Danio rerio: one gene and its partners. The protein of the gene in region 3 interacts with the protein of the main gene of each other region in a pairwise test. Links are inferred from orthologs where the notes say so. Each region holds a gene or a part of one and is shown on either strand. Other genes may lie near its edges.

Evidence for each region.
Region 1: the proteins of atxn3 (region 3) and rad23b interact in a two-hybrid assay, tested with the Homo sapiens proteins (2 studies listed by BioGRID and IntAct). The link is inferred for Danio rerio from reciprocal best matches to the Homo sapiens genes ATXN3 and RAD23B.
Region 2: the proteins of atxn3 (region 3) and arhgap19 interact in binary tests that used the Homo sapiens proteins (3 or more experiments, as listed by UniProt). The link is inferred for Danio rerio from reciprocal best matches to the Homo sapiens genes ATXN3 and ARHGAP19.

What each region holds. Positions count from the first base shown.
Region 1 is NC_133196.1:575,884-578,420, forward strand, and holds part of rad23b (UV excision repair protein RAD23 homolog B), read right to left. Parts: intron 2,062-2,537; coding exon 1,905-2,061; intron 1,775-1,904; coding exon 1,647-1,774; intron 1,412-1,646; coding exon 1,256-1,411; intron 1-1,255. UniProt on the Homo sapiens protein: Multiubiquitin chain receptor involved in modulation of proteasomal degradation. Binds to polyubiquitin chains.
Region 2 is NC_133197.1:36,976,247-36,979,904, forward strand, and holds part of arhgap19 (rho GTPase-activating protein 19), read right to left. Parts: intron 1,955-3,658; coding exon 1,874-1,954; intron 1,499-1,873; coding exon 1,289-1,498; intron 1-1,288. UniProt on the Homo sapiens protein: GTPase activator for the Rho-type GTPases by converting them to an inactive GDP-bound state.
Region 3 is NC_133192.1:59,465,546-59,469,676, reverse strand, and holds the start of atxn3 (ataxin-3), read right to left. Parts: upstream 2,916-4,131; 5' UTR 2,898-2,915; coding exon of another isoform or gene 2,874-2,897; 5' UTR 2,564-2,873; coding exon 2,531-2,563; intron 2,137-2,530; coding exon 1,972-2,136; intron 1,883-1,971; coding exon 1,838-1,882; intron 816-1,837; coding exon 730-815; intron 635-729; coding exon 568-634; intron 472-567; coding exon 384-471; intron 286-383; coding exon 165-285; intron 12-164; coding exon 1-11. UniProt on the Homo sapiens protein: Deubiquitinating enzyme involved in protein homeostasis maintenance, transcription, cytoskeleton regulation, myogenesis and degradation of misfolded chaperone substrates.

The DNA of each region.
Region 1 (2,537 bases), on a different chromosome or scaffold from region 3:
TTTAGAAATTAGTTATTGTTTAAAAATGTTGTAAAAAAATTCTAATTTCATCATTTTCAATGACTAACCTGTTTTTTGAGGGTATTTTAGTTTGCTGCATCTTGTTGTAAAACATATTAAACAACAAAGGCAAAATATAAATTAATTATTTAATTTCAGGTAACATTTAAGATATTTTAACTTTAAACAATAACTTTAGTATTTTTGAGTCTCTTTTTGTGGTTTCATGTAGCAAAAATGAATAAAATTAAATTAAATACAGCTGAAGGCAAAAAATGTAAATTATTTTAATAAATGTTTAAACAAAATCTTTATAATAGGTTCAACTATATATTTTATTTTGTAATGTAATTATTTTATTTTGTATTATTTGAGTATTTTTGTTTTTTGTTTTTATTAAATCAATAATAATAAACAATAAATGTCTCAATTGAACATAAAACTGTATTTTGAGTATGTTTTTGTTAGTCTTTTCTTGTTTTAAAAATGAATACAATTAAATTAAATATAGTTTAAATATAGTTAGAAGGCTAAATTATTACATTATTTTAATACTTAGAGATTAGTTATTAAAAGTAGTTTAAAAAATCGATATAATATTTTTAATTTAGAGAGTATTTTTTATTTTGCCGTTTCTTGTTAAAGATATTATCTTATTAAATAATATCAATATATTGATTACAGTCCAAGGCAAAATTTTAATTAATTTAATTGTTTAATATTTTTAAGGTGCTGTTTAAAAGAGATTTATCAACAATTAAACACATTTTTAGTAGCTTTTAATTTGCTGTAAAAGTGAATTAAATACAGTCAAAGAAAACTTTAGTATTTTAAACAATTAAAAATGTTGAAAGAAAACTAATATTTACTTTTACTTTGTAAAAATAATATTTTTACAAAACTTTAATAATTAATTTCTAATGACCAACTTCTTTTGTATTTGAGTATTTTATAACTTTGTTGTTTCTTGTAAAATAAATTAAATAAATACATCTGAAGACATATTGATTTTAGTTCAAATATATTTAACCAATGCTTTTAACAAACTGTTTATTTATATTTTCCTTTTTAAATAATTTCTAATAACTCATCTCTTTAGCATTTTGAGTATTTTTAAATTTGCTTTAAATTTTGTGTTGTAAACATGTAAAATTAAATACAGATGAGTGTTCAAACATCTTTAATACTTAATTAAAATGAGGGCGAATAATAAAGAATAAGAAATGCTGCACTGTGACTGTCAGTGTCGTTTTACCCGCTCAATAGCTTCTTTCTCCTGGGGTGTGACTTGGATGTAGTTCATGTGCCCACCCCCAGCCTCAGCCACACCCCCTGCCCCACCCCCTTGTCCCGCCTCCTGCACTGGCTCATTCAGCATCTGGATGAACTGCTCCTGGTGGCTGCTGATTTGCTGTTAAACAGGAAACACATTTCTGAGGACAGATCGCACACCTCGCATATTGAAAACCTTAATTACGTGTACTTCACATTCATTAGGATCTGACCTCACGATCTGTCAAGACATAGCTAAGCTAATGATTATACACACACACTAGCTGGAATAAAAAAAAAAATATATATATGCATGCATGAGTGAGTATGTGCGAGTGTAAGTATGTGTGTCTCTGTGAGTATGTATTGAGCACCTGCAGGAGCTGTGGGTTTTCCCTGCCGATCTGCTGCAGTAGAGCCGGGAGCAGTGACGGGTTCTGCTGGATGATCTGCCTCATCTGCAGGAACTGCGGCTGGTTCCTCAGGAACTCCAGAGGGTTCGCTACACACACACACACACACACACACACACACACACACACGCACACAAACAGTAATGCAATTAGACTGAGTGGCTACTGTGTGAGCCCTGACAGAGCTGGTATTATGGGGTCTGTGTGCGAGTGTCAGACCTCCGGATGCTGAGCTGGGCTGTGCTGGAGCTGTGCTGGACGGAGAGGAGAGACCTGTGGATATAGCAGGAGCTGGAGCTGAAGCTGGAGTGCTCCCTGAGGGAGACACTGCATCCACTGCACCCACAACACTGCCCTCACCCTCCGCTGGGATACCCTGAACACACACACACACACACACACACACTCAATATTACGCTCTGAGGTTATTATTCTGTTCATCAACACATGCTTAAGTATATGTGAACCACTGAACAGAACCGTTCAATACTGGATTTACACAGAATTTCTCAAGTTGAATTGAATACCTTTTACTACCTTTTTAATACCTTAAAAAAATGTATACCAGCACGACTTAGAGCTGCAACTGTAGAGGTGTAAATGAAATATCTTTCCAAATGGAAGAACATATTGCAGATAACATAGATTTAAGTAAAGCAGAGAGATTCATCAAGATGTCACAATCAGCCTTTGTCCATAGTTTAATCAATGTCATGTCATCAATTTCAATAGCTGCTCTTTTAACAACAGTTCGGTACGGTTACAGTTGTTTCTACACTGAACCAGGAATGGCATGGCATGATTATAAACCGTTCTCGGCATGGTTAGACAATCGTGCTGAACTGTGCCAAT
Region 2 (3,658 bases), on a different chromosome or scaffold from region 3:
AAACACTGCCAAACTGCAGAAGTTGTGTTCTTTTTTCAAGACCAGGTCACTTGGTGCATGACTCGCCATCTTTCCCTAGCTCTATCCTTCTCCTCCGCGTTATTCTTTGATGACAACCACGGCTACCCATTTTTAGGTATTAAATAAATTCTATTTGATCCTTGTCTCTTATATAAGTGCATTGTTTTCAGTATAATGGTATCAAAACTGATCCCTTTGCTATTTGAAGACCCCACTGTATACCATATTACCCCCCAGTGAATGCATCACAATGAATTTCTGCATTTTCATGTGGATGGAGATCAGGGCCGGAGTAGGACTCCTTTTTAGCTCTGGAGTTTCAAGCCTTAGACCGGTCAACCTCAGTCGACGACTGACAATATTAAAATTACGTCATTTCCAATTCAGTTTCAAATGACACTAACATGTCTTTTTCAAGGACACAGCTGCTTTAGAATTTCAAATGTTTTTCATAAATATGAGAACATTAATTCTATATAGATATCCAATCCTTTGTAACAGTCGTCACACAAAAAAAAAATGTATTCCTACATAAGTAACCCAAACAGTATTTTATGTCTTAACACTGAAAAAAAAACATATTTTACTCTGGTGAGGTTCGAACTCGGGTCGGCTGCGTCAATGCGTAACGTGCTAACCACTAGACCACGATGGCACTGTTAAACACTGAATGTTATCTGCTCCTATTGATGTCTACTCCGTTTTTACCCTGCTCTTTTTTCCCCATTTTAGATTTCTGATCAAGTTATGTTAAGATTAAAAGTTAGATTTATTAATGTAGTAAATCATCTGATTTTCATTAAGCAGGTGTAATATTCATTAATATTCACTAAGGTGCCGCTGTTTGGGGTGGAATGGGGTGCAGCCCGCAGGTTAATGATGATCATCATTAACCTGCGGGCTGCATTTAGCTCACGGGGCTGCGAGAAAATAAATAAAAAGAGCGGAGCTGCGGCAAAATAATGATTAAAAAGAGTGAGGTTATGGTCAAATAAACAAATAAATTAAAAAAGTGCAACTGCTGAGAGTGCAAGCAGCTAGGGACACTGGCCCTCGCGGCCAAAAAACGGACCGGCCCACCGGGAACTTTCCCGGTTCTCCCGATTAGCCAATACGGGCCTGATGGAGATTATCTTTCTTTTTTTTAACACCCATGTACATGTGAACATGGTCTCAGCAGAGATCACTGTAAGTTTTATCTAATGCAAGAGGAACAGAAATGCAGCTAATGATGTAGAAGGCACAGCATGAAGTGTGGATGATGAACCTGTGATCTTCAGGTGGGCGTGCAGGTGGCGGTGGGTCAGCAGGGGCTCCGGCAATTCTCCCAAGAAACTCTTGAGGAGCGTGGCCACGTCATTGGGATGAAAGTCACCAGCGGCGAAATCAATATCGGCTCCACTGTTGAGCTGCTCCCTCAGCGTCTGCTGCCTCAGACTGTTCCCAGGAACTCGAAACAGACCCTGCACATGGAGATCTACAGGAAAACAACCTGTTCAAGCACCTCTTAACAGTGTCCTTACCATAAAGATTCAAATACTTGTCAATCTTCCAATGTTTTAGTGTATTTTAAGCAATAGTTCACCCATTCATTTACTTATTCTTGACTAATTTTTAACCTGTTTGAATTTTCTTTCTTCTATTAAACACAGAAGAAGATATTTGGAAGAGTTCAACAACTCATAAGGTAGGGGAAACAGCAACCCACAATTTTTTTTTACATCTTTTGTGTTCAACATAAGAAAACTCAAAGGAGTTTTGAACAAATGGAGGAGTAAATGAGGACAGAATGTACATTTTTTGGGTGAACTGTATAATAAAGCCATCAACTTTATTAATATCATGCACTTACTTTTGCTGAGGTAAGCGATGAGCTGATATATCTGGGCTATTCCTTCTTCTGTGAGGGGCATGCCGAACACAACACCTTTGTCTGAAAATAAATACGACAAACAGTCACCGCCTCTTCCAAAAGAATGCATCTTTTCTCTAATACATTAAATGCTTATGTTTTATTCTGCTTGCCAAAGAATCATTTAATAGGGATAGATTTGTTTTAAATGTGCACATATACTATTGTTCTACATTTTAACCATGAACAGGAAACTGGAAGGCAATATTTGCTGTATAAAATCCTCTGTTTTTATTTTGGCTAAATACACACCAAATTTGACATCAGAATGTTTCTATTCAGGTGCAAAAACTCATCACAATTGGTGTGAAGAAAAACACCTTGAACTTACTAGAATAGAAACATTTTTTTAAGTAGTTTAAACAAGTTTTGTCTTAAGCACAATTAGAGAAGCTCAGCAGAGTAGGACAAACAAGTAAATAAATGTGCAATGAAAAAAAAAAACTTCAGTCCCACTTTATATTAAGTGTCCCTAACTACAATGCACTTACATAAAAAAAATTAATACAATGTACTTACTGTGTTTAAAATGTATTTCAGAACACTTGTGGTGCTTTTGACTTGAGATAGAGGTTGGGTTATGGACAGGTTTGGTGGTTTGGGTAGGTGTAAAGGTGTGTTGAGGTGTAAGGGATGGTCAACAGTGAATTTACAAATGTAATTACAAAAGTTATTACATACATGTATTCAATCAACCATAAGAATACATGTATTTACACAATAAGTACATTGTAACAAACTATTAAATCCTATGTAAGTACATATTAGTTAAGGTCACTTAATATAAAGTGGGACCCAAACTTCAATATACAGCAAAGAAAATAAGTATTGGCCATGTTCTTTCTCAGAAAACATATTTCCAAAGGTGCTGTTGACTTGAAATTTTCCCCAGATGTTGATAGCAACCAAAAAATCCATATATGCAAAGAAAACAAATCTAATTAATTTACAAATGAAAATATGTGTAATAAAAAGAAATGATGCCGGTAAAAAGTATTGAACACATGAAGAAAGGGAGGTGTGGTTGAGCAGTGAAAGCCCAGACAGCAACCGAATATCTCAGTAGTTCTTCAGCAACCCGCTGCCCTTCCTGAGTGTAAATGAATATCAGCTGCTTCAGTCCAACATCTTCATTAGCAGGAGGATGAAGATGAAACCAGGGTGGACATTTCAGCAAGACAATGATCCAAAACACACCCCAGCAAAGTACCTTTAATTAAATACATTTCAGTAGTTCAGTACTTTCTCCTTGTATCGTTCCATAGTTATTACACGTAGCTAATTTTTCAGATTTGTTTGTTTGTTTTTTTTCCAAAATCTGCTTCAATTCCATGTCAACAGCTCCTTTAGAAATATTATTCACAGGAAAAAACATGACGTGTTCAATACCTATTATCCCCGCTGTATGTATTGTTGTTTTTGCTTAAAATGAAAAAGAACAGGCATCATGGTGGCGCAGTGGGTAGCACGATTGCCACACAGTAACAAGATCACTGGTTCTAGCCTCAACTAGGTTAGTTGGCATTTCTGTGTGGAGTTTGCATGTTCTCCCCATGTTGGCGTGCGTTTCCTCCGGGTGTTCAGGTTTCCCCCAAAAGTCCAAATACAGATGAGCTGTAGGTGAACTGGATAAATTCAATAGGACAGTGCATGTGTGTGAATGAGTGTCTATGGATGTTTCCCAGTGATGAGTTGCAGTTGGAAGGGCATCCGCTGTGTAAAACA
Region 3 (4,131 bases):
GTGCTGACATCCTGACAACATACACACATACATATATACACACACACACACACACACACACAATCAGCTGCAGTGCTCAATTATGGAGACTCCAGTGTGTGTGTGTGTGTGTGTGTGTGTGTGTGTGTGTGTGTGTGTGTGTGTGTGTGTGTGTGTGTGTGTACCTCTGCGTCTCCTCCTCTCCGATCAGCTTGGGCCGCTGCTGCTGCTCCACCCTCATGATGCGCAGGATCTGATCCGCTTCACACTCCGGCAGATTCCCCCGAATCACAAATATAGAGTAACCTGCAGGAGGACAAGAGCAGCGCTGAAGCGGACACACACACACACACACACACACACACACACACACACACACACACACACACGATAATGAGTGTTACCCTCCTGCTGCAGCTGTGCGAGGAACAGGGCCAGGTATGTGTCTGAGATCAGCTCCGGACCCGTCAGCAGAGAGTTCAGGTTAAACCACTGACACACACACAAACACACAGAGAGAGAAAGAAAGAGTCAACAAACACACACCTTTCTGACCCTGAACACACACACACACACACACACACACACCTGCTGTCCCAGCTTGCGCACGGTGAACCAGTGCTCCTTATAGTTGCAGATGAAGGCCTTCTCATGCCTGAAAGACAGCAGAGGAGGATGAGTGTGTGCAGAGGAGACACACACACACACACACACACACACACATAGAGGATACAGCGCTCACACACTCACATGGGGTCCATCTGCAGCTGCTGGTACTCTCTGCTGTTGAAGAGGACGATCTCCAGACCCCACACACCCAGAGCATTGCTGATCACCTGCACACACACACACACACACACACACACACACACACACAAACACACACAGGTCTCTATAAACATTTAATTCATGTGTTCATCATCATCATCATCATCGTTTGTTTTCCACGTATTCCAGTGTTGGTTTCTGCAGCACATGTCAGAGTGAGCCGTGTCAGTGAAGCGTTCAGCAGTGTGTGCTGCTGCTGCTGCTGCTGTTCCTCTTCACCACACTGGTAAGCTGTTTATGCACTAAAGACAAACCAGTCTTAATGTGGGCAACAGTACGGGCTCTTCATGCCACACATTCTCTATTGGAGACAGGTCGGGGCTGCAGGCAGGCCAGTCCAGTGTCTGTCTCCTCTTCCTCCGCAGCAGGACTCTGTAATGCGGGTCCAGAATCTCTCTGTGCTGTTCAGCATTACTGGAGCATCACAGAAGAGCAGGTCACCTCTGCCCAGAGCACCGACACAACCCCAGACCATGACAGAGCCGGCCTGCTGCTGGTGTCAGTCTGGATGATCCTCTTCTTCTGTGGTCTGGAGCACACGGCGTCCATTTCTCCCAGAAACACCTGAAACTCTGCTTCATCTGAGCACAGGACACGTCTCCACTGTGTGATGCTCCATCCCAGACGCCCAGAGCCTAGAGAAGCGCTGCTGGACACTGTTAACATAGGGCTTCCTCCAGACTCCTTCAGTCTTTAATGCTGTTCTGCACTGCTGAAGGTGAAATCTCCACATGTCTTCCTCTGAGGATCATTGTGTTCACACACTTCACTCATATTCTCTCATATCTGTGCTCAAACTGGAGATCCTCGACTCATCTCTGCTCCTAAAGCACTAGAGCTTTCCTGATGAGCAGATCACCATCACCATCACCTGTGGACATCACATCATCATCCAGCAGATCACCTGATCACCGCCCTGTTTCTGCAGTCTGAATGACAGCAGAGGGTTCGTGTTTTCCGTCTGTCCCAGCAGCTTTGTCTGATTTGTTGTTGTAGTGTTTGTGAGGAGTAACGGGTAACTATGACTGACCTGGATGGAGAAGAAGCCGCTGTCGTCCATGTTCCCTGACGGCTGCTGCACACACAGAACACAGCAGGTTACACTGAGACCCTGAGCTCTGTGTGTGAGTGTGTGTGTGTGTGTGTGTGTGTGTGAGTGTGTACCTGCAGGAATGTGCGGTACTCCTCCGTCTGCACTCCTCCCTCCGCCATGCGCATGCGCTCCTCCTCGTCCAGCTGCTGTGCTATAGAGGAGAGCTCCACCGGGCTGAAGTACTCGCCCTGCAGCAGGTTATTCAGGCAGTGCTGCGCGCACAGAGAGCCCTCCTGCTGTAACACACACACACATACACACAGTAAACACACAACAACATCAACATCATCATCATCATCATCATCATCATCCTCCTGCTGTAACACACACACACACCATGATCATCATCATCATCATCATCATGCTGCACAGAGTACTCCTACTGTAACACACACACACACACACACACAAAATCTGTTTCACACATACACTACACACTCTTTGTCAACAAACATAAACACACACTTTCTTGCTCTCTTACACACACACTCTCACTCAGACTCTACATTTCTTTCTTTGTTTCACTCACTCACAAACTCTTTCACAACACACACACACACACACACACACACACACACACACACACACACACACCACACACACACACACACACACACACACCACACACACACATATCATCCTCGTCGTGTAAACTCTGCTCATGTCGTGTTTCCTTCAGCTCAGACACACTCTCCAGCACTCCCTCAGTCTACAGGCTCAGTGTCCTCCTCTACAGCGCTGTGTGGCGGAGTGCAGCAGTGAAGAGGAGCCGCTCTGGCGGTAAACACACATGTGCTGGACTGTCTGTCTGCCCGTGTCGGATGTTGACACTCGATAAAAGTCCACGAGCGCCTCAGAGATATCAAGCCGGAGCAGCAGACTGAACTCGACAGATCTGCCCTCCTGCAGGAGAAGCTCTCCCAGATCATCTACACATCACTCATACACAGCATTATCTGAAAGCGATTCTTACTTTTTCGTGGAATATAGACTCCATGTTTGAAAGTGTGTGAATGACGGAACTGACGGAAACAGCGACGCGTCAAAACATGTCAGAATAAGAGTCACCTAAAAACAAGCGCTCTTTGAATAAAAACTGCGGCAAGGCTGCGTTTAAAATCGACAGATTAAGATCTCCGATACACTATCAATTGAATTACACGTTTAGTCGATATAAATAATTTAGCAGGACATTTACTGATGTTACTTTCTAACCGTTCTGCTTGTCACGTGACGAATCAAAACATCAGGAACGCCGCCCAGTGGCGCGCTGCGCTACACCTCATGTGGACAGATCCTGATTAAACGCAGAACTTATTTGTTTTAAATGAGGTAATTCGATTATTTAATGTTTTTTAAAGTATTCACACTTTTGAGAACTTTGAAAATATTCACTTCAAGACACAAATGACTTTTTACTGATGTCTAGTAGATTTGTGTAAGCACAAACATCAAACAGACATCTCAGTGATGTGTGTGTGTGTCATCTGCTCAGTGATGTGTGTGTGTCATCTGCTCAGCTGCATTCACGCCAGTTTCTCTGCTCAACACATTATAGGAAGCTTGAAAACGGCTACTGTGAACCCCAACACACGCGTGTTAATGTGAATGAGGGAGTGTTTAAAGATGGAGCCTGAGCCTGGAAACACATGCAGACCCGTGAGGCAGAGAGAAACATCTTAAAATAAAACAGATCCTGCAGCAGTGGAGTCTGTCAGACATCTGCCACAGCGCTCAACACGTGTAGTCAATCAGTCAATCAGTCATCCAGAAGCAGAAATCTGGAGCGTCTGAAGGGGTTCTGGACACTGCATTGATCCGAACCACACAGAGGACAGTTTATGTCCACAGAGAGAGGGGCTCTCGATGTCTTGATCCAACACAACACTTCAGAACCATTTCAGTTCATTTCTACACTGCAAAAATGATCTTCTTAGAGTTTTTAATCTTGTTTCTGGTCCAAATATCTAAAGATTTCTAAAAGATCAGACCTCCAAGGCATTCGAGGAGGAGGATAAAAGTTTAAAAGCCTTTATTACCATTGAAATACTGACTTTCACAAGTGCGCTGCACAATCCTGCTGTTTTACAGCAATAGTCATCTCAATAGAGGCTTTTTCACTTATATTTCAGGTGCGCTGGACTGGTGATTTTAATATGCTGTGCTGGTCTAGAGAATGCTTCTTTCTTAAAGAATTGAAAGATATTTGGACCAAACACAAGACAGAAACT